2 linked regions of the Diceros bicornis minor genome follow. The protein of the gene in region 1 interacts with the protein of each later gene in a pairwise test. Links are inferred from orthologs where the notes say so. Each region holds a gene or a part of one and is shown on either strand. Other genes may lie near its edges. The genes, in order: CALCOCO1 and DUSP13B.

What was found.
Region 2: the proteins of CALCOCO1 (region 1) and DUSP13B interact in binary tests that used the Homo sapiens proteins (3 or more experiments, as listed by UniProt). The two-hybrid records come from large-scale screens. The link is inferred for Diceros bicornis minor from reciprocal best matches to the Homo sapiens genes CALCOCO1 and DUSP13B.

Annotation. Positions count from the first base shown.
Region 1 is NC_080756.1:16,602,407-16,612,631, forward strand, and holds the start of CALCOCO1 (calcium-binding and coiled-coil domain-containing protein 1), read left to right. Parts: upstream 1-6,326; 5' UTR 6,327-6,397; intron 6,398-8,571; 5' UTR 8,572-8,595; coding exon 8,596-8,751; intron 8,752-9,070; coding exon 9,071-9,173; intron 9,174-9,957; coding exon 9,958-10,148; intron 10,149-10,225. UniProt on the Homo sapiens protein: Functions as a coactivator for aryl hydrocarbon and nuclear receptors (NR). Recruited to promoters through its contact with the N-terminal basic helix-loop-helix-Per-Arnt-Sim (PAS) domain of transcription factors or coactivators, such as NCOA2.
Region 2 is NC_080745.1:31,688,881-31,698,240, forward strand, and holds the start of DUSP13B (dual specificity protein phosphatase 13), read left to right. Parts: upstream 1-5,670; 5' UTR 5,671-6,096; coding exon 6,097-6,183; intron 6,184-7,350; exon of another isoform or gene 7,351-7,456; intron 7,457-8,577; coding exon 8,578-8,781; intron 8,782-9,360. Other genes in the region: SAMD8 (sphingomyelin synthase-related protein 1), read right to left, coding at 1,595-1,768; DUSP13A (dual specificity protein phosphatase 13), read left to right, coding at 3,425-3,633, 4,429-4,747. UniProt on the Homo sapiens protein: Dual specificity phosphatase that dephosphorylates MAPK8/JNK and MAPK14/p38, but not MAPK1/ERK2, in vitro. Exhibits intrinsic phosphatase activity towards both phospho-seryl/threonyl and -tyrosyl residues, with similar specific activities in vitro.

The sequences.
Region 1 (10,225 bases):
TTTCTGGAGACCAGGAAGTACTTCAAACCCTCTATGTCTAGAAGTAGAAGAACATCCTCCCCCATCCCAACCCCACCCAGCCCCACCCCAAAATCTGCTCCTTCCGCCAAGGTCCCCATCTCAAGGAGGGACCACCATCCACCAAGCCAGGAAGCTGGGATCAGCCATGAGTCTTCCCTCTCCCTGCGTTAGGGATGAGACAAGGGAGTCTGTTGCACACATTAAGTGACTTAAGTGACAATTTTTTTTAAAAGCTAAAGTTTAACTTTTTTAGGGTCATATGTCCACAGGCATCAAAATGACTTCAAGAATCAAAATATCCTGCCTCCCTCTCTTTCACACCCCACACCCTGCCCATGCTACCTCCTAAAGAACTCTTGAGTTTCTCTACTTTGCTCCATTCTCTCTATCAGATGAGAGTCAGTTCCCAGCGAGAGGACTGAGCTGCCTTCTTATTGTTTTCCCAGGCTCCAGGGTTAACCCTCTCCATTCCCATGGCACTGGGGAGGCCTGGGGAGCATAGGGGATATGCCTACCCACACAGTTTCCCAGAGAGAAGTATTTTGAAACAGCTGGAAAACTGATAGAACTGTCAAGTTCATGAAATCAACTACCTAAATTGTGACCACAACACAGCTCTGTTTATTTTGTGATAGGGTAAAAATTTCTAAACTTTTCAATAGAATATAAAAATAAAGAAAAACTATAGGAATAACACTCTCTTGAGGGGAAAAGACCACTTCCATCACCAATCAGCCTGGGCCCGATGCCCCACTAACATTTTGGTTGGCTGGGCTCCAATGTGTTCTTCAGCCAGGAGATCTTTGGCTATGAGTGGTTCACAAAGTTGGTGCTCTGTGAATTCTGGTGGAACGAGTGAGAGACAAATAGAGATATGAACAGTGGACAGATTAGAATCATTCTCTCCAGAGGCATTTTTTGTCCCAGAACAACTCTGGAATGTTGACTCAACCCCACATTGATAGAGAGTGGCATGGGCACATGGCTAAACTCCATCCCCAGCCCCCTTGCAGTGAGGTGAGGCCATATAACTGGTTATCACCAATGGAATACAAGTGGAAGCGATGTGTAACTTCCACGCTGAGAAAGTTAAGAGTGGTACATTCTCCACTTGCTTTCTCTTCCCCCTGAAGCCACATATTTAAGATGGCAGATCCCCAGCATGAACAGATCTGGATTCCTGAGTTATCTGATCACAAACATACACACTGGACTATATGACATATAAATCTTTATCATGTTAAGACACTGAGATCTGGGGGGTGTCTGTTGTAGCTGTTATATCTACCCTAACTAATGCAGAATCAAGGTAATGAGGCCAAAATCGCAAGAAATGAGGCTCGGCGCACTGTAGAATTTAGACTGTGATGGATAGAGGGCAAAGGGGAGCACTTAAGAGTCAGAAATTCTTGATTTGAATCTCATACTAGCTGTGTGACTTTGATCAAGTTACTTAATATTTCTAAGCATTGGTTTCTTCATTGATAAAAATTACATAGTAATAATACAATCCACTTCATAGTATTGGTTCTGAGGATCAAATGAATCCAAGAATGTAGATGGCCTTTGAAACCAGAAAGCTACAAATGTCATTGGCTATTATTCTAACAGTTGACACATGTTTATTAAAAATCTGTTGAATGATTAAATACGAATGAATGTGAATAAATGGATGGACGAGTTCTCAGAGCCGCATCTTACTCCCCACTAATAAAGGAAAGACTAAGGTCATCTGAACACTTTGAGATCAGAGAGGGTCTGTGGGTCTATGGAGTGAACCAGGAGCTGCAGGACGTAAGTGTTACTAAGAACCCCAAACCACCCTTCCACCCAGCCCAAGGAAAATGGAGCCAAAGAACTAAGGGGATCAAAAGAAAATGGGTCAGGAGCCCTAAAGAAAAGTCCAAAAGAATCAGACTTTGCTCTAAAATCATGTTAATGTTTTCCCTACTGTAATGGACTGACTGTGTGTGTCCACCCAAAATTCATATGTTGAAGCCCTGAACTGCAACGTGATGCTATCTGGAGATGGGGCCTCTGGGAAGTAATCAGGGTTAGATGAGGTCATGAGGGTGGGGCCCTCATGATGGAATTAGTGCCCTTATAAGTAGAGACCAGAGTGGTTGCTTTTTCTCACTCTCCTCCATGTGAGGACACAGTGAGAAGTCAGCTGTCTACAAGGCAGGAAAAGAGTCTTCATCAGGAACTGATTCAGCTAGCACCTTGATCTTGGACTTTCCAGCCTCAAGAACTGTGAGAAATAAATTACTGTTGTTTGTGCCACCCAGCCTATGGCATTTTGTTATGGCAGCCCGAGCAGACTCTGACACCTACTTCCCACAGAGCCCACAGTTTGGAAACACTAGTAACAGCCTACAATATCTGACACACCAGCTGCTTCTGCATGTTTGAAAGCACCCAGCAGAGTGCCTGGTACACGGCATGCACTCAGTAAACACTAGCCATTATGATTTTCTGCAAAAGCATCTTGTTATATTGGAAAAGACATGGGTTTCAGAATAAGTTTGGTCTGAGAGACCTTGGGCAAGTTACCCTGAGAGTTTCAGTTTCTTCGTCTGAAACATTTGAGAGCACCTTGCGTGGTGGTGTGATGGTTTGATGGGTGAAAGAGCCTCTCATATAGGGGACACTCAGCTAGTGGTAGCTCCTCAAAGCATTCCACGAGTCCAGGACCAGCTTCCCTTCACCATGTATTATATATCAGGCACTGGGCTAGAGAAGCAATACCAGAGTTAGGCCTTTCACAAAGGAGAAAAGAGACTTTAAACTTCAGGAAGATAGGATTCATTTTGTAGCAGCTCCTTCCACGCCTCTAGAGAGCCTTTCAAAGATCATTTCAATCTTCCCCAGCCCCAGTCAGGAGTTCTCTGTAATCTGAAAACACCAACAGTCCCAAGATCTCACAACCTCACTCAGAAGTATTCTGTAATCCCAATAACTGTCACTTCCACGGGTATTCACAGTATTAGTCCCCCTGTTAAAAAAAATTGTCAGTGGCTAACTCCCTATTCTTGATGCGAATGAAGTCCAAACATTATAACCTGATGTATTAGTGGTTAGAAAAACACTAGCTACTATACGGCCCAAAACTTTAGTGGTGTAGCAAAACAGAAATTGATTTATTAGTTAAGTGAAGTCCAAAACGCATGTTCCTGATTAGCGGGCCATTCTCTGCCAAGTGGTGATTCAGAGAACTCGGTTCCTTCTAACCTCTGTCCCCACATCTTTAACATTTGTACTTTCAAGGTCACTATGCTTAAGATCATACACATCAAGCCAAAAAGGAAAGGACATGAAGGATCTCCCTTGGGAGGTTTCATGGGCCAGGCCTGGAAGTGGAACATGTCACTTAAAGGGAAACTGAAAAATGCAGTCCAGCTGTGTGTCCAAGAAAAAGAAGGAAAGAGATTCTGATAAACACATGGCAGGCTCTGCCTTGCTTGGCATTCAAGATTCTCCACACTCTAGCTGAAACTTACCTTTCAAACCTGATACCACTTACCTTTCAACCTTGACACCATTAACCAGGTATGGCTATGAGTCAGCTTTGCTGCAACATCAACCCCAAATCTCAGTGGCTTACAGCAACACGGTTTATTTCTGACTTTCGTGTACGTAGGCTGTGGGCAGGCTGCAGCTCTGCTCCACGGCTCTTCTCATTCCAGGACACAGGCAGAAGGAGCAACTCTCATGTGAAATAGGCCCATTCTAATGGAGAGAACAAGAAAAGGAAACTCACATGCTCAGACATGGCATGAGTCACATCTGTTCACATCTCATTGGTCAAAATATGAAACATGATCAAGTTCAAAGTCAATGAAATGAGACATATACTCCTTCTACAGAAGATACTGCAAGACACGTGGCAACGGGCAGGGAAGGAGAAAGTAAACACTTTCAAACAATAAATCAATCTACTACAACTGCCATCTTCCATCTGGAGTACATGACAGACATTACTAATTAATCCCAGCACTCTTGCCTCAGAATCCTTCTCAACACAACATTGGGCAGTCATTACCAATAATCTGAATTTGAAAGAAAAAAAAGTTGAAATTGATGCACTGTTCTTTTTTTTTTTCCTTTCTCCTCAAAGCCCCAGTAGATAGTCGCAAGTCATAGTTACATATCCTTCTAGTTGCTGTACGTGGGACACGGCCTCAGCATGGCCGGAGAGGCAGTGCGTCAGTGCGCGCCCGGGATCCAAACCTGCGCCACCAGTAGCAGAGCGTGCACACCCAACCGCTAGGCCACCGGGCCGGCCCCATGATGCCCTGTTCTTATGTGACCTCCTAGCCTCCAGTAAACCTGTGAACCTTTGCTTCAGCCTGAAATGAGCTTATCCTTCCTAGACGTTGTCCTGCCAAACTATCCAAATCTAATCCATCCTTCAAATATCTATATTTTATATTCATTCTTTCAGCAAACTGTATTGAATACCTAGCATAGTGCCTGACACATGTATTTGTTCAATGAATCTGTTTCACATCAACTTGTGCCTTGCACATAAATGCAAGGGAACATTCGTCCCCTTATTAATTAATAGCACTGTTCCTTAGAACAATCAGTGTTAGTATCACATACCAGGAGTTTCTGGGGTGGGAGTATGGTGTATTGACTAGTTGTGCTTGAATCCTGATTCTACCACTTACTAGTTGGATGACCCTAGTTAAGTCACTTAATTGTCTGCACCTCAATCTTCATCATATGTAAAATGGGGATAATAATAGGGCCTACTATATAAGGTTGTTGTGTCAAATGGAAAAATTCTTAGCATAGTTTAAACACATTATAAGCACCCAGTAAATGGAAGTTGTTATTATTTTTAGCTCCAGCTGAGACTGAGTTTTCTTCCAAGCTTTTATTCTGGGTGGAAGACAAAAACCAAGAACACTTGAGACTTGCCTCCCTGAACGAGCCTCACTCTTAACCCACTCTAGACCTTGAGCCGTCTCCTCCCCCAGCAGCCTGTTTTCTAACTCATAAATCCTGACTAATGACACAGACATGTCACCTTAATGTTTGTGAAGCCCAGTGACTTATTGTTAAGTGCTTGGAGATCTTCAGATGAAAGGGACCCAAGGGCAGGCACAAGACACCCTATTCAGTCATAAAAGCAAAATACTACCAAAAAACATGGGAAAGGCAGAGGCTCCATAACTTAGTGCAGCAGGGAATTAAAGCAGGTACCAGGAAGAGCAAATCAATCCTTAGACTGTAATTCCTTAATACAAGGACAGGGAGAGAGATGGTTTCAAAAGCCTCAGACGATCTGGAAGGTCCCAGGGAAGGAGGGGTGGGGCATGATGCCCCAGTGTTTAACGGTGACTTGGGGTATGGGAAGAGTATGAATCTTTCACACACACACACACACACACACACACACACACCCGATAAAAACAAGAGCAACAACATGTATTGTTATCCTGATTAGCTTAAGCCAGTTAAAAGGCTTGGGCAAACCAGCCCCTGTAAGTGGCTTGTTGGTGAGCTGTGACCGGCCCTGAACTATGCCAGGCTCCCCTTTCAGCTTCGTTCTTACTTCACCTCCCCCTACACACACACTTCAGACAATGGATCCTCTTCCTCGACCTAGAGACCACACTACGGCAGCCCAGTCCAGGTCCCTGGCACTGAAACTCTCAAGTTGGAAAAAAAATAGCCAGCAGTACACAACACACAGTTTTTACAGGGGCTGTCCCTGAGGTTGACGCAAAGAAGAAACTGCTAGCGCAGCCATCAGTTCCCCGTCCCCTCAATGGTAGCGGCAAAGTTCTACCATCTTACAGATGGAGTTCCACCATCTTACAGCTTTGCTACTTGAGACTGCTGCCTTAACCGTTCTGAGCTTTAGTTTCTTCATCCGTAAAATGCGTATTACCAACCTCACACGTTGTTGCGAAAAGTAAACGGGAGCGTGAAGCCGAACACGCTCCGCCCCCTGCAAAGCGCTACACGCACAGGAGGCGTTAGAGCCGTAACTCCTCCCCACCCCCCAACCACGCACGTTACAAACCAGTAGTCACCACTAATACAGCCGGCCCTCTCCTAAGGAATCATGGGCCGTGAAGTCCTTTGGTGGACATACCCTCGTTTACCATCACGGAAGTGAGAACTACGCCTCCCAGGATGCCGTGGTGAGGCCGCCTCCACGGCCGCCCTCTGCTCCGCCCTCCTTGCGCACAGCCTCCTGGGTTGCGTAGTCCCAGATCCGAGCAGGCTCGCCGGCAAAAGGACGCAGAGGAACCACAAACCCCAGAAGCCCTCGCGCCCACTCTTCTCCCTCCCCACCCCGAGTCGGAGTGCTGTTTTTGTTGTTGGTGAAAGGTGAGGGAACAGCTGATCCGTCTGAGGGGTAAGAAACTTGGCCTAATTTGGGGGTGATCTTATGGGGGGTCACCCCGCTTTCCAGTCTGTGAAAGGATAATCTAAGGGAGCTGTAGAAGGGGGATAGAGGAGCGTTTGGGTTTTAACACTTTCCGTACTGGAGAAGCCACCACTACTGTTTTGGGGAGTTCTTGGCCTCAGGGGGGCCCTGATCAGGGGGTTGCCCCCTCGCTGTTCTCACGTACCTCTCAGTCCTTCTCTGTAAAGCTTGATACGCTCAGGGGAGTTGGGGGGAGGTGAAATCTTTGTTCATTTTCTCCCAGGCACGGGTTGGCCACCACAAACCTTCCCTTTCCCCTTACCTCCCGTACCCCATCCGAAGGCCTTTACTACGCTGAATCCCTGGAGAAAAAACATTCCAAGCTGTAGAATGTCAAGGAACTTTAGAGTCCTACAGAGTGGGGGGATGGGACCCCTTTCCTCTGAACACCTGAATCTCACCACACACATACACTTTAGGTGCCCAGAGCTTTCTTTCAGGCCTGGGGAATGTTTCCAGCTGTTATGGATTTTATTTGTGGGGCATATTTGGGGTTCCCCCGGCTTAGATCTTTGGGGACAAGTCATTCCTTTAGAAAGCCAGAAGAATCGTATTTGGAGAAAACATGCACTAGTTTTAACTAGGGATTTTTCAGAGAAATGAAAAGCCAAAGAAATCTCTTGTCCTCAAGTCAGTCTCTATTTTGGAGGGAGATGTTACTCCTTTTTGCAGAGCTTGCCCACCTTTCCTTCTGTACTGAGTTTCTGTCTTCTTTTAAAGTTCCTGCCCCCCTGACTTCAGCGTGGTGTGGGTTTGTGATGTTTGGGGGCATGCACATGACTAGTGGCCATGGCTGATTGGACACTGTCAGGTGCTGCTGACACAGGGTGAAGGTTAGGGGGCTGGAGAGGAGAGATGAGAGGGCCATCTCACAACTCTGGGCTGAGGAGTTCTCTTGATTGTTATTGTTATCTTTCCTCACCCACCCCCAGATTTTCCAATTAACTCTCCCCACCCAGTTTGGGACACCTCTCCCTCTCAATCCCATCCTATAGCATGCCTCCCACTACCAATCCAAGCAGATGGAAGGATTCAGGCACTTGGAATTGAGGCCAAGAGAAGGAGAGAGAAAATGGGGAGGGAAATACTAGGGCTGGGTTAACATACAGTCAAACCAGTAGGTTTCTAGTCTTGCTCCAGGCAAGACCTGAAGAGAAGAATGTTAGGTTTTTTTTGAACTCTCTCCTCCTTCTCTCAACACTATATATACATTTTTCCCTTCTCAGAGCCTCTTACTTCCCACCTTCCAGTCTGTCCCCTGGCCAGGGGCAGGGCTTTCCTGGCTCCAGGCCCCCACATTCCATCGCCCCACAGCACCACGTTCCTGCGGAGTGTTGCACTCCACCCTTGAAGCAGCCGCCTCCAGAATTCTTGACTTCCTGGAGTAATGAAGTTGAGGGACAGGACCTGTCTTTCTTTATATCCTCCCTTTCCCTTTGTGTCTTGGATAAGAACAGAAGCCTTTTTTTATTCATGGGGGTAGACAGCTCAGAAAGAGGGAGAGGACAGACAGCTCAGGGGCCTGAAGATTGGGCTCTTGTCCCCCCAGCCATATTCCTGCTCTGAAGACTCAATCATTGCTTTCAGAGGTTGTTGCTGTTTTCAGGTGTCATAAGTCATTCCTGGGTACAGCTGGAGTGGGCGAGGAGATCTGCTCAGAATGAAGGGGCCCCACACCTCAGTTGGATTTTGAATTCAAGAGCCAAAAGATGTGGGGGATGGGACAGGGAGATGGAGGCTATTAAGAAGGACATTAAGAGGTGGAAAAGGAGGGACTGAGCGGGGCAGAGCCTGAGACACTGAGACTTGGTCAATGGGGCTATGAAAAGGGAGCAGAAATTAGAGAGATCTTAACTCTAGGAAGAGTCTGTGACTCAGAGAGGGTGCAGTGAGACAGGGTGGGAACTGACTCAGAAGACCAGACCTCTGTCCTGGAGACTAAGGATGATACCTCTAAAGATTCCTGTAACCCTCAGGGGCTGGAAAGCAGATATGCCTTCATCTCCAGGTGTAGTGGCAGGGCTGTGGGTGGGTGAGGATGGAGTTAGGGAAGAAAGAGATGGAGTGGAGAGACTTTAGGATATTAACCCTTTGTTTCATAGGAGGGCAGATATCTCAAGGGCAGGATGGAAGAATCGTCACTAAGCCGGGCACCGTCCCGGGGTGGAGTCAACTTTCTGAACGTAGCCCGGACCTACATCCCCAACACCAAGGTGGAATGTCACTACACCCTTCCCCCAGGCACCATGCCCAGTGCCAGCGACTGGATTGGCATCTTCAAGGTATCCCTGGAACCCCTATTGGCTCAGGTTCATGGGCCATGGGTTGGTCAGAATAAGGGGAATGACTAGGTTCTTGGATTCTCAGCCTCATGTTGATAGAGAAGTAGGGAGAAAGATGTCACAGATGACAGAGGCCATCTTCTCCTCGTCTTAGCCTTGCTCTCTCCTGACACATTAGTGTTCCTCCACTTTCTCTGTCTCTCATCATCCTTGCCACCATAACACCATCCTATCCTGCCATTAACTCCCTCAGCCCTTTCTGCCATCTGCAGCTGGTAGTTCCACTGCCATACCGCTCTCCCACTTTGGGCTCTCACAGGTGGAGGCTGCCTGTGTTCGGGATTACCACACATTTGTGTGGTCTTCTGTGCCTGAAAGTGCAGCTGATGGTTCCCCCGTCCATGCCAGTGTCCAGTTCCAAGGTACGAGGGAAGATGGAAAACCAAAGGGAGGAGCCAGGGGGATGGAGATTTGGAAGAAGATAGTGGGCTCAGAAGCGTAAAAGTTAGGCATAGAGGACAAAGAAAAATAAGTGCAAATAAATAAAATAAGAAATACATTCAACAGGGCTCAGCAGACATAGAATCATGGGATTATCACAGAATCAGGGATTTAGAGATGGAAAGAACTGTAGAGGGCAGCTAATCTCACCTCCTACCAAAGGAAGGACGGGCTAGCGGGTAGGGAAGAGGGAAAGGTGGCGTCATATATTGAGAAGAAAGTGGTCGTTAGATTCTGAAAGACCTGGGTTCAGATCTCAGCTGTAATACTTACAAGCTGTTTGACCTTGTGCAAATTACTTAACTTCTCTGTGTCTGTTATCTTAACTGTAAAAGGGGATGCCTGGCTTACAGGGACAATATGATGATTAAAATGATACAGGTAAAGCTGTTAGCACAGTCGCTGGTGCGTGGTGGGCGCTCAGTAAATGGTAGCTAGCATTATTATTATTATTATTATTATAGAGGAAGGTAGGTTTGAGAAGGAGAAGTAGGGGAGGACTAGGCAGAAAGGAGGGAGAAGAGTATTCCAGGAAACAGAAATAGCCTGTGGGAGGTGGAGAGGAGAGAAAATAGTATATGGAACAAGGAGCAAGGGGCTGGAGTCAGGACAATGGATACTAAGACATGCCAAGGGGAAGGGGGACCTGCTGAGCACTTGAGGGCCTGGGATCATATTGGGGTCCTGGGTCTGTTCTTCCCACAGCCAGCTACCTGCCCAAACCAGGGGCGCAGCTCTACCAGTTCCGATACGTGAACCGCCAGGGCCGGGTCTGTGGGCAGAGCCCCGCTTTCCAGTTCCGAGAGCCAAGGCCCATGGATGAACTGGTGACCCTGGAGGAGACTGACGGTGGCTCTGACATCCTGCTGGTGGTTCCCAAGGCAACTGTGCTGCAGGTGAGAACAGAGCAAGAGAACTGCTCCCGGGCAATGGAGTGGGAGGACAGCACTGCAACTTCCCACTTCACCCTCCT
Region 2 (9,360 bases), on another chromosome or scaffold:
AAAGTTTGTCTTGAAATGGCCAACAACTTTGCAAAACCTATAATCAGATAAAAGTTGTAACGGTAAAACAACATACTAGATGTGGCTCAAGTCAAAGATTTCATGAAGCCATTATAATTTAACAATTACAAAAGGAAATTACCTTACTTGTAACAAAGTGAATATACATACTGTAATCACTATTTTTCTGGCACAATTGTGGTTTTGGTAGTATATCTTCTATAAAAAGCATCTGTGTACCCACCTGTCCCAGTTCTGTTAACTGCCAACTACAAGTATCCTCTATTCTTATTTTTCTAGATCACTCTACTAAAAATATTATGTATACAGTATCTACAAAATTGCACTAATATTGGTCCTGCAAATCTGTTAAAAGTACCCCTCCAATTTGCAAGCGAAGTAACTCCAATCTTGGAGTTATAGGTGAGAAGAAGATCTGGTAAGCTCCTGGACTGTGGTGATTTCACATCTAGTTTTATGTACCATTATAACCCAGACACCTGCCATTGACCACATTTTTACCCTGCGGTAAATACTTGGGTCAACTCAAGCTGTCAAAGTGGAACCATTCAATACTGAGTATCTGTAAAACCTAAGTGTCCAAATTCTTGTTTCGACTTTAATTTCTTAAATTTAAAGGTAATGTATTAAATCTTTTTCTTAAAGATCTAAATTTGTCTGGTATTTAAAATAAACAAATTTAAGAAATAAATATGAAGAAAAAAAAGAAACACTATTGCTGCTAAAAGAAATCCAAATGATATCTTTATTTTTAGAATCACTCCTTTCACTATCTTTTCCAAACAACACTTCCTTTTCACTACTTTTCCCAGTCCTTTAGCAAATCAGTGTTTAACACCGCCCCTCCCATCCCAGATTCTTAAAAGAATCCACTGTCCACAAACGAGAAAGCCCCATAATCCATTACCCTAGTGATCTTCGATGCTTTGAAAGACACACGTGAAAATGCCAAAGCCCTAAATTATATCCCTGAGGGCTCCTTGTCTTTCTTGACCACAATTCTCTTCTTCGGCCCTTTAGGCCAGCGACTTCCCACCGGACAGCCCGTCCTTCTCCCAGTCAAACCTAAATCCTTTGCCTAATTACCCCCACCCCCACTTTGGTCAGCGATCTCGTCAGTCTCAACCCGGTTCCCTCTCTCTCGCCATGTGGTAGCATCGACCCTGGTCCTGCTCCTCTGATCCCTCACCCCCACACCATCTCTTCCTCCGGCCCCACACTCATGCGGGACCCCTTCAATCTTCTTCCCTCACTATCCTGCTTTCAAAAACCTCCGAGCCCTTGCCTCTTCAAGGCCACATCTCCATCGGTCTCCCACTCCCCGTCACCCGTCAGCCTCCACTCACCCCTCAGCCTCTGGCCATCGTCACCCCCTTCAGGCCCTTGGCTCAACAACCTCCATTTCCCTCAGATTCCATTCTAAAGCTGCAGCTCCAAGCTCCCTCAACCGTCTCCCGGGGCCCCTCCGGATCCTCGGCCTCAGCAGTCCCCGCCTCCATCCCTGATTCCCCACTCACCCTCGGCTGCAGGCGCCCCCCAAACTCCCCTCTCCTCCGCCTCTGCTCCCGCTCACCTCCGCAGTCCGAGTCGGGCTCCCCGGACCCACCTCCGAGTCGGCGTCCGAGGCGCCGTCGGAGTCTAGGGCCCTCTGCGCCTCGCAGGAGTGAAGAGCCTCGAGCGGCGGGGGCGGAGCCCGGGGAGGAGAGCCTGAGTGGACGCGGGGGCGGTGGCGGCTGCGCGCAGGCATCGCTCCGGCCCGGGTCTCAGCCGCGCCGGCAGCTGCCGGAATCCGAACCGGAACTGCTTTGGGAGGCGGGGCCCTACCGGCGGGGGCGGGGCCCAAACCGGAAGGGACGCGGCGCTCAAGATGCGCTCTAGAGGAGAACGGAGAAGGGAAACCGCAGCAGGGAAAACCGAGAGCGCATGCGTCAGGCCCAAAGCCGACGCAGAAGGGGCTAGTGAAGGTGGGGCGGGGCCTTTGGGATTAGAAAATGGGGTTTGGGGGCTAAAGGAGGTTTTTCTAAGAACTTTGGAGGGAGTCAGCCCCTTTCCAAGAGTCAACCCCCAATGATCATTGTTACCATTTATTGCCCCTTTATTCTTTGACAGTCCCTATGTCAAATGCCATATAAAAATCTCACTTAATCCTTGGGCCTACTCTATGGGGTATTACAATACAGAAGGACCGAGAAATTTGCCTGAGGTATGGCAGTTAATATGTGCCAAAGCCAGTATTCCTACTCAAATCTGTCTAACCTCAGAATCTATGCTCTTCTCACTCTGCTATACCACCCCATCCTGAGGGAAGTCCCCAACCTAGGCCTAGCATCGGTATAAACCAAGTCCAAAGCCACCTGCTGCCTGGCTCTATCACCTCCTTGGCCTTGCTTCCTCATGCTGTGCAGGGTGGGGTGGACATGAATGCAGACTGCTTCCAAGGGATGTCCTGGTGTGGCCTTTACCCTCAAGCTGGACTCAGGGCCAGGGGCAGCCAGGAGCCTTCCCACCGCAGTTCGTACCCCTCCCAGCCGCATCAGGACCTTCATGCAGTGACCTGAGAGCGGGCGAGACATCTCACCTCTTCTGCCGATAACTAGCTCTGACAGAAGGACAGATGTAGACCTTTCTCAGTTTCTGTTGTGGGGACAAAAGCCCTTATAGGCAGAGGAAATCTCCCTCCCACCTCAAAAATGTTTCTGATGATGGTTAGGCCCTTTGACTTTTCCACCTCCCTTCTTCCCTTTTGACATACATGGCCCCTTTCAGCCTTCTCTTTTGAGAAATCAGCCATCTTCATTACAGAACCATTCTTCAAATCTTCCCCCATGAACCCTGTGGGCACCCTTTAGATGAGGTCAGGTCCTCTATGCCTCCTCTCCACTTTTCTGTGGCTGTACAACTCAGGAAACTTCCCCTGGGCCCCATAATCTGAAGGCTCATCCAACAGTCATACGGTTCCCACCTAGTTTGTGGCGCACCCAGACCTACAAAACTTTTTCTGTCATTCATCCTTGGAGCCTACAACCTCCTCTCCACCCTGGATCTCTACTTTAATTCAGTCCTCACAACCAAATAGCCTTATTCAGGGCTCTAAATCTGTTATTTAAACACCTTTTTTTTACAGCATCTACTATGTGTTAGACACAGAACATCATTTGTTTCATTTAATCCTCACAATTCTGTAAGGTAGGTGTAATTATCTTACTTGACAGGTGAAGAAACTGAGATTGAGAGAGAAAGTGACTTGCAGAGGTATGTCTGATTCTATGTTGTCACAGAGTCTGGGGATGGGAGAAACTTGGGGAGGAAAAGGTCCTGTTTTCTGTATAGGCCTCTGTGACTTGCTGAGTCAGAGTCACTTGCTGCTGTCCCACCTGTCCCTGCCAATCTCCGGGAAGGAGAAATGACACTGGAGAGGCAGAGAGGAGTGACTGCAGAGACAGAGGAGTGGGTGGGCTGGCCCATGGCTGAGGCCTCACTCCCAGAGCAGAGGGGAGATGCCGAAGCCACGCCTTGCCCCAGCGTCCTGGAACTGGAGGAGCTCCTGAGGGCGGGGAAAGTTTCTTGCAGCCACGTGGACGAAGTTTGGCCGAACCTTTACATAGGAGATGCGTGAGTGGTAGCTGGCCCAAGAGGTGTGGGGGTGGGGACAAGGAGAGGCCGTTCTTGGGCTCTTTACCAGAGATGGGAGTGGGATGGGAACAAGGAGAAATACTTCTGCTCTGAGCATCCCAGGCCAAGGACTTTCTCCAGGACCCCCATGTGCTGGGGACAGTGCAGTGACCAGGTGTAGCCACCAGGGGGAGCATGGACTTTGCCTGCCTGAAAGATGAGAGCTCCCAGTTCCTGGAGTCTTCTGGCACAACCAGGACAATTGGCGAGTCTAAGCGGGTAGAGGTCTGAGGAATGGTGATTTGGGGTATGAGATGGGGTGACAGAGCTCCCCTTCCCAGTCCCAGCTTTCCTCCTCTGGACACAAAGTGGGTGAGGAAGCCTGACTGAAGGTGAATCAGGGAAGGTGTCACTTCTAAACATTTGCATCATTAGGTATGAGGTAGTGGCCAGGAGAGGCCGGATGTGCGTGGGAGAGCACGGGGCAGGAAGGGAGGGGCAGCTGGGTCCCAGGGCTGAAGCAATCCTTTCCCTCCTGTCGTAGCCAAGGCAGGGGCAGATAGCCTCAGGTAGCAAAGACGGCCTAAAGATAACTCCTTGTACCACCACCTCTTCCACCAGAAAGCTCTGAGGGTGGGGCTGTGAGCTGTGGACCCCATCTCAAGCTTGCTGGGTTCCTTCCAACTCCCTTTGGACCCTAAAGGCTTCATCCCTCTGAAACAGGGGGCCAAGCAGAGCCACCTTCCTGGACCCCATGGCTCAGCCAGCATCCAGCCCCTTTCCTCCCCTCCCCAGGACCACAGCAAATAACCGCTTTGAGCTATGGAAGCTGGGCATCACCCACGTGCTGAACGCTGCCCATGGGGGCCTCTTCTGCCAGGGCGGTCCTGACTTCTACGGCAGCAGTGTGACCTACCTGGGGGTGCCAGCCCCTGACCTCCCTGATTTCGACATCAGTGCCTACTTCTGCTCTGCAGCTGACTTCATCCACCGTGCCCTCAGCACACCTGGGGGTAGGAGTTGGGGTGTGAACCCTCATCCCATCCTGCTCAGTCACTGGGGGGATGTCCAGTTTCCCCTCAAACATCAGTCCCCTCCTATCCCTAGTTTTTAAAAAGCCATCAAGTTTTTTAAAATCCTCTGCTCAGTGCTCTAGCAATTTATCCAACTGCATTGCTTCACAGATGGGGAAACTGAGGCCTAGAATACAAGGTCATGCCATGAATTAGGAGCAGCCCTGGGGCTAGAAGCCAGGTCTCCCAAACAGCAAGATAGTTCTTTCTCTCTGCATCCCTCAGCCTTGGGAAATCACCATTTGGTACCTAGATATCTGGTTTCTCCCCCAGGGTACTACCAAATGGAAAAAAATCTCCTAATACCCAGGGTACAACAAAGGAGCCTGGGAAAGCTGGAGCCCCTGCCCTTTGCATCCTGGATGAGAGCTGTGCCCTTGCTACCCCCCCATGGGCAAGCCAGTGTCCCTCTCTGGACTTCAGTTTCTCATCTGTATGATGGGAAAGACAAAACTATGGCTCATAGCACTTTTTAATATCCAAAGCACTTTGACATCATTTGTTCTTCATCCATTCATTCACCAGCTATGTATTATCTTCTGTGTGCCAGGCACAGAGCTAGACACTAGGAATCTACACTTAGACAAGGCAGAGTCCCTGCCCTCATGGAAAGACAGTCAAAATGGGAAGTATTATGAGTGCTACTCATATGAGTGGGCAGATGTGAAGAGCTATGGCAGCACAGGGCAGGAGTGCTCAGAGGATCAGGGAGGTGGGGAGACTTCCTTCTACAACAGTATTCACTGGGCCACATGCAAAAAGGATGAACCACTCTGTGATTCAAGCGATACCATGAATGGTTAAGAAAGCCTAGGTGAGGAAGCCATGTCTCAGCTGAAACCTTACCGATTAGTAGTAGAAGTTAGACTAAGAGCAGGGAAAAATTTTACAGGTAGTTGAAATAGCATGTGCTAAGGCTGGAGGCCAGAGATCATGACAGCTTCAAGGAACTGAAAGTTACACAGTGTTCCTAGAGCTGAGGGTTGGGTGGGATGGCCTGAGGTGAGTCTGCAGGTTCAGTAGGGGCCAGTGCACAGAGGGTCTTGTAAGCAATGTTAAGGAGTTGGACCCCATCCCAAGGGTAGGCAAAAGAGGTATTGGTCTACTCATTTGACAGATCAGGAAACTGAGGCCCATAAAGGCTGAATGACTTGCCCAGGGTCACAGATGCACCTAAGGCAGAGCAGGGAAAGGAAGTTGGGTGTCCACCCCAGCCCCTGGGTGGGGCAGCTCGTGGGAAAAGGTCTTTCACCAGGATGTCTTCCTCAGCCAAGGTCCTGGTGCACTGTGTGGTAGGTGTGAGCCGCTCCGCCACACTGGTCCTGGCCTACCTCATGCTTCGCCAGCAGCTGTCCCTGCGCCAGGCGGTGATCACTGTGAGGCAGCGCCGATGGATCTTCCCCAACCGAGGCTTCCTCCACCAGCTCTGCCAGCTGGACCAGAAGCTGCGTGGTGCAGGCCGGAGCTGAGGGGCCAGGTGAGGGCTGGGCAGGGCATGTGGGGGCGGGGGTGGGAGGGGGCTGAGTGCAGTTAGAAGTGAGATCAGGTGAGGGGTGGGCAGGGAGAATGGAAGGGGAGGCTGGTGAGGGCTGAAAGTGAAAGGTCAGATGAGGGGCTGGGCAGGGGCAAGGGTACAATTGGAAGAAAGGGCTCAGGTGAGGGCTGGCAGGGGACATGGGTGGGACCAGTTCAGAGGTTGGTTGTCGGGGCTGTGTGTGGCAGGAAGTGAGGGTTGAAGACAGCCTGGGCCACTCCTCAACCTGTTGGGCTCCCCTCACCAACCCAAGGTCTCAACAGGCCCCAGCCAAAGCAACCCTCTGGTAGGACCCTCTCTCTCACCCAGCCCACCCAGATTCCTGAGCCCCCAGAGAAGATGAAAAGGCTAGGAAGGAAAGGGGTAGAAAGCATGAAATGGAAGAGGTGAGGCCTTCCTCCCTGGTCCTGATACTGACTTGCCCTGCCTCCTTGGCAGATAGCCTGTGGGGCTCACCTGAACCCCACCAAGGCAGCAACACAGCCAGTCCTGGCACCTGAGGACTGCCTGGACCTTCCTGCACCTCTGCATCCCTTCCCCTCAGGTCTGGACCCCAGCCACAGCTCTGGGGAAGTAGAGTGTGGCTGTGCTATGAATCCAAGCTTAATTAATTCTCATGTCAGCCCTCCCTCCCCATTCCCATCATGGGGAAGGAGAACAGGTGCTCCTGCCCCCAGCCAGGACCTCCTCACACAAGCCTTGCTTGATACCAAGTTCTCCTATCATCATGCCTTTTCAGTTCTCTGCCTTGGACCCAGCACCCCACTCCCTCCCCCAATCTGAGCTCAGAGATCTACAGAAGGACCCTCCCTAACTGCCCTCTCTCTCTGGTTCTGGTGACCCCTTTAGGGCAAAAAGGTCTTCCTGAAGTCTATCCTCACTCCTTCCTGCTTCCGTTTACCCCCTGCCTTTTTGTTCTGTGTTCAGTGCATTTGGAGCAATAGCAGATGGTCCTTAAGATGCACAAGGGGAACAGGTCCCCAGTACCTCCTCTCCCCAAGTGTCCTCCCTCCTGCTGGAGGCTCCAGTGTCCCCAGCTGCCCAGTAGAAGGAGTTGGGCTCCCCCAGCAGCAACACTGCTTCTCAGGCTCCCAGCCCACAAATGCTCACCGAGGTGCTGCTTCCATTTCTTTGGCATCAATCCCGTGTTTTCCTCCAGCTCAGCTGGGAGGAGGCAGGGGTGTCTCTTCCTGGGGTGGAGTGGCTGTGAGGGCACCAGGATTGTGAGGGAGCTGCAGAGTGCCCACTGCCCTTCTTCTCCCACCATGCCCAGGCTGGGTCTGTCCCTGTCTGGCCCCAACAGCCCGCCTTCCTCACACTCACATCCCTCCGAGGGCCATCAGCTGGGGGTTAGGCCTCTGGGGCGGCTCTCTGCTCCCCCTACCCTGCTTGCAGCTCCTGCTACCCATACTGCTCCTTCCCTCATCTCTCTTCAACACTGACTTTGGCTATGCCCCAGCCATTGGCTCAGAGGGGCTGCCTGCTCTGGGTGGGTGACTGGCCTAGGCTCTCCTGGGAGTTGGAAAAGCAGCAGGTTTCTCCTCCTGCCGAGAGCTTCCGGGGCATGGCCGGAATCTCCTCCTGCCCCCCACCCATAGGAGCTGTTTTGTCTCTGAACGCATACCCGCCCAACCAAATGGAAGCACTTGAGCAATATCAACCCCTTCACACAAGCTGTCGGGAGGATGAGCATCTTGGCGATGGGGATTAGGGCAGGACAGAGGGTTTAGAGTTTCAGGGGTGAGTGTAATGGGAGAAAATTAGGGTTATAGCTGGGGTTGGGATTAAGTCTGGGCTGAGCTGGGTGGGAAACTGTTGTGGAGAGCTCTACAGGTATGAGGAGCCAAGAGAGGGGCAGGAATGGCATGTTCCCGTCCTACTCTCTTTCCTCTAAACAGGTTTCAGGAACCTGGCAGAGCAGTAGATCTCTGATCATGCCCAAATCACTCCACTTCCTTGGCCTGGGCCCTTAAATGTCCTGACCTCCAACCTCAGCATCTTTCTCATCAGGCAGCTGGCTTTGGAGGAGTCAGTTGGGCTACAGCATTGCACAATTCCCCAGGAGTTGTGCAGCGTGCAGACTGTGCAGCTGTACACAGCAGCCCTGGGGCTGGTGACTCTGAAAGATGAGGAGGACAGTCATTTCTCCCCATGAGCCCTGGGCCCCAAACCCGCCTCCTCATCTCTCCCAGCACCTGTACCCACTTGACCAGGCACGGAAGGCTCAAGGCAGAAGCAGATTTAGGTGGCTCCTAATCTTGCTCCTGCCCTGATGAGTCCCAGCCAATCTGGGCCTTGGTTTACCTGCCTGTAACATGGAGCTCATTTCTCCCCCAGAGCCGGTCCGCACACCCTGCCACAGGGCTCTGCCACTTTGCCACCCTGGCGCTGGCCCTGCTGGTGCTGCTGGAGGCTCTGGCCCAGGTGGATACCCAGAAGATGGTAAGAGCCCAGTATGGGGTCCGCCCTAGAGCCTGCTACTCCATCTGCTTCCTCCAGCTGCCTGCACTCCCTCTCAGTCACTGTCTTCAGTCCCCACAGGTGGGAATGGGCTGCCCTCTCAGCCAAGACCTGAGATGATTCAGCCTGGGACCCCAAGTTTCCTTGGGGCAGCGGGGGGAGCGTGGGAGGAAAGCGGGAGGGGATTCTTAGTGTTCATGATAGCCCTTGGCCACACCTGCTTCCACCATTTCTCCCCAGGGCTCTGGGAGCCCCAGCAGGGGCTGAGCCCTAGCTCCCTGGAGCTCAGACTTCAGAGACCCAGTGTAGGGGCAGCTGTGGGTATGCGTCTGTCTCTGTGTGTGTCAGTTCTCTGGGGGTGTGAGCGGGAAGAGTCCTGAAGTATGGGTATATGAGGAGGGTCTCTGGATAGCAGGGAGTGTTCTTAACAGGCCCAAATCTAAGGTCCCTAACTGACCACAGTTAGCCTTGGGAAGGACCTTAAAGACCATCTTGCTGAGTCTTTAAGGCCCAGTGGGGCCTGGGCCAGGAATGCCTTCTCGGGGAGAGAGGAGCTTGGCAGAGGGCAGAGTGGCTTCTGGATACACAGTTTCTGACTGCCGGCCAGAGCTGGTCTAAAGACCTGCTCTGAACCCCACTTACGCCTTTGTCTGTCTGTCT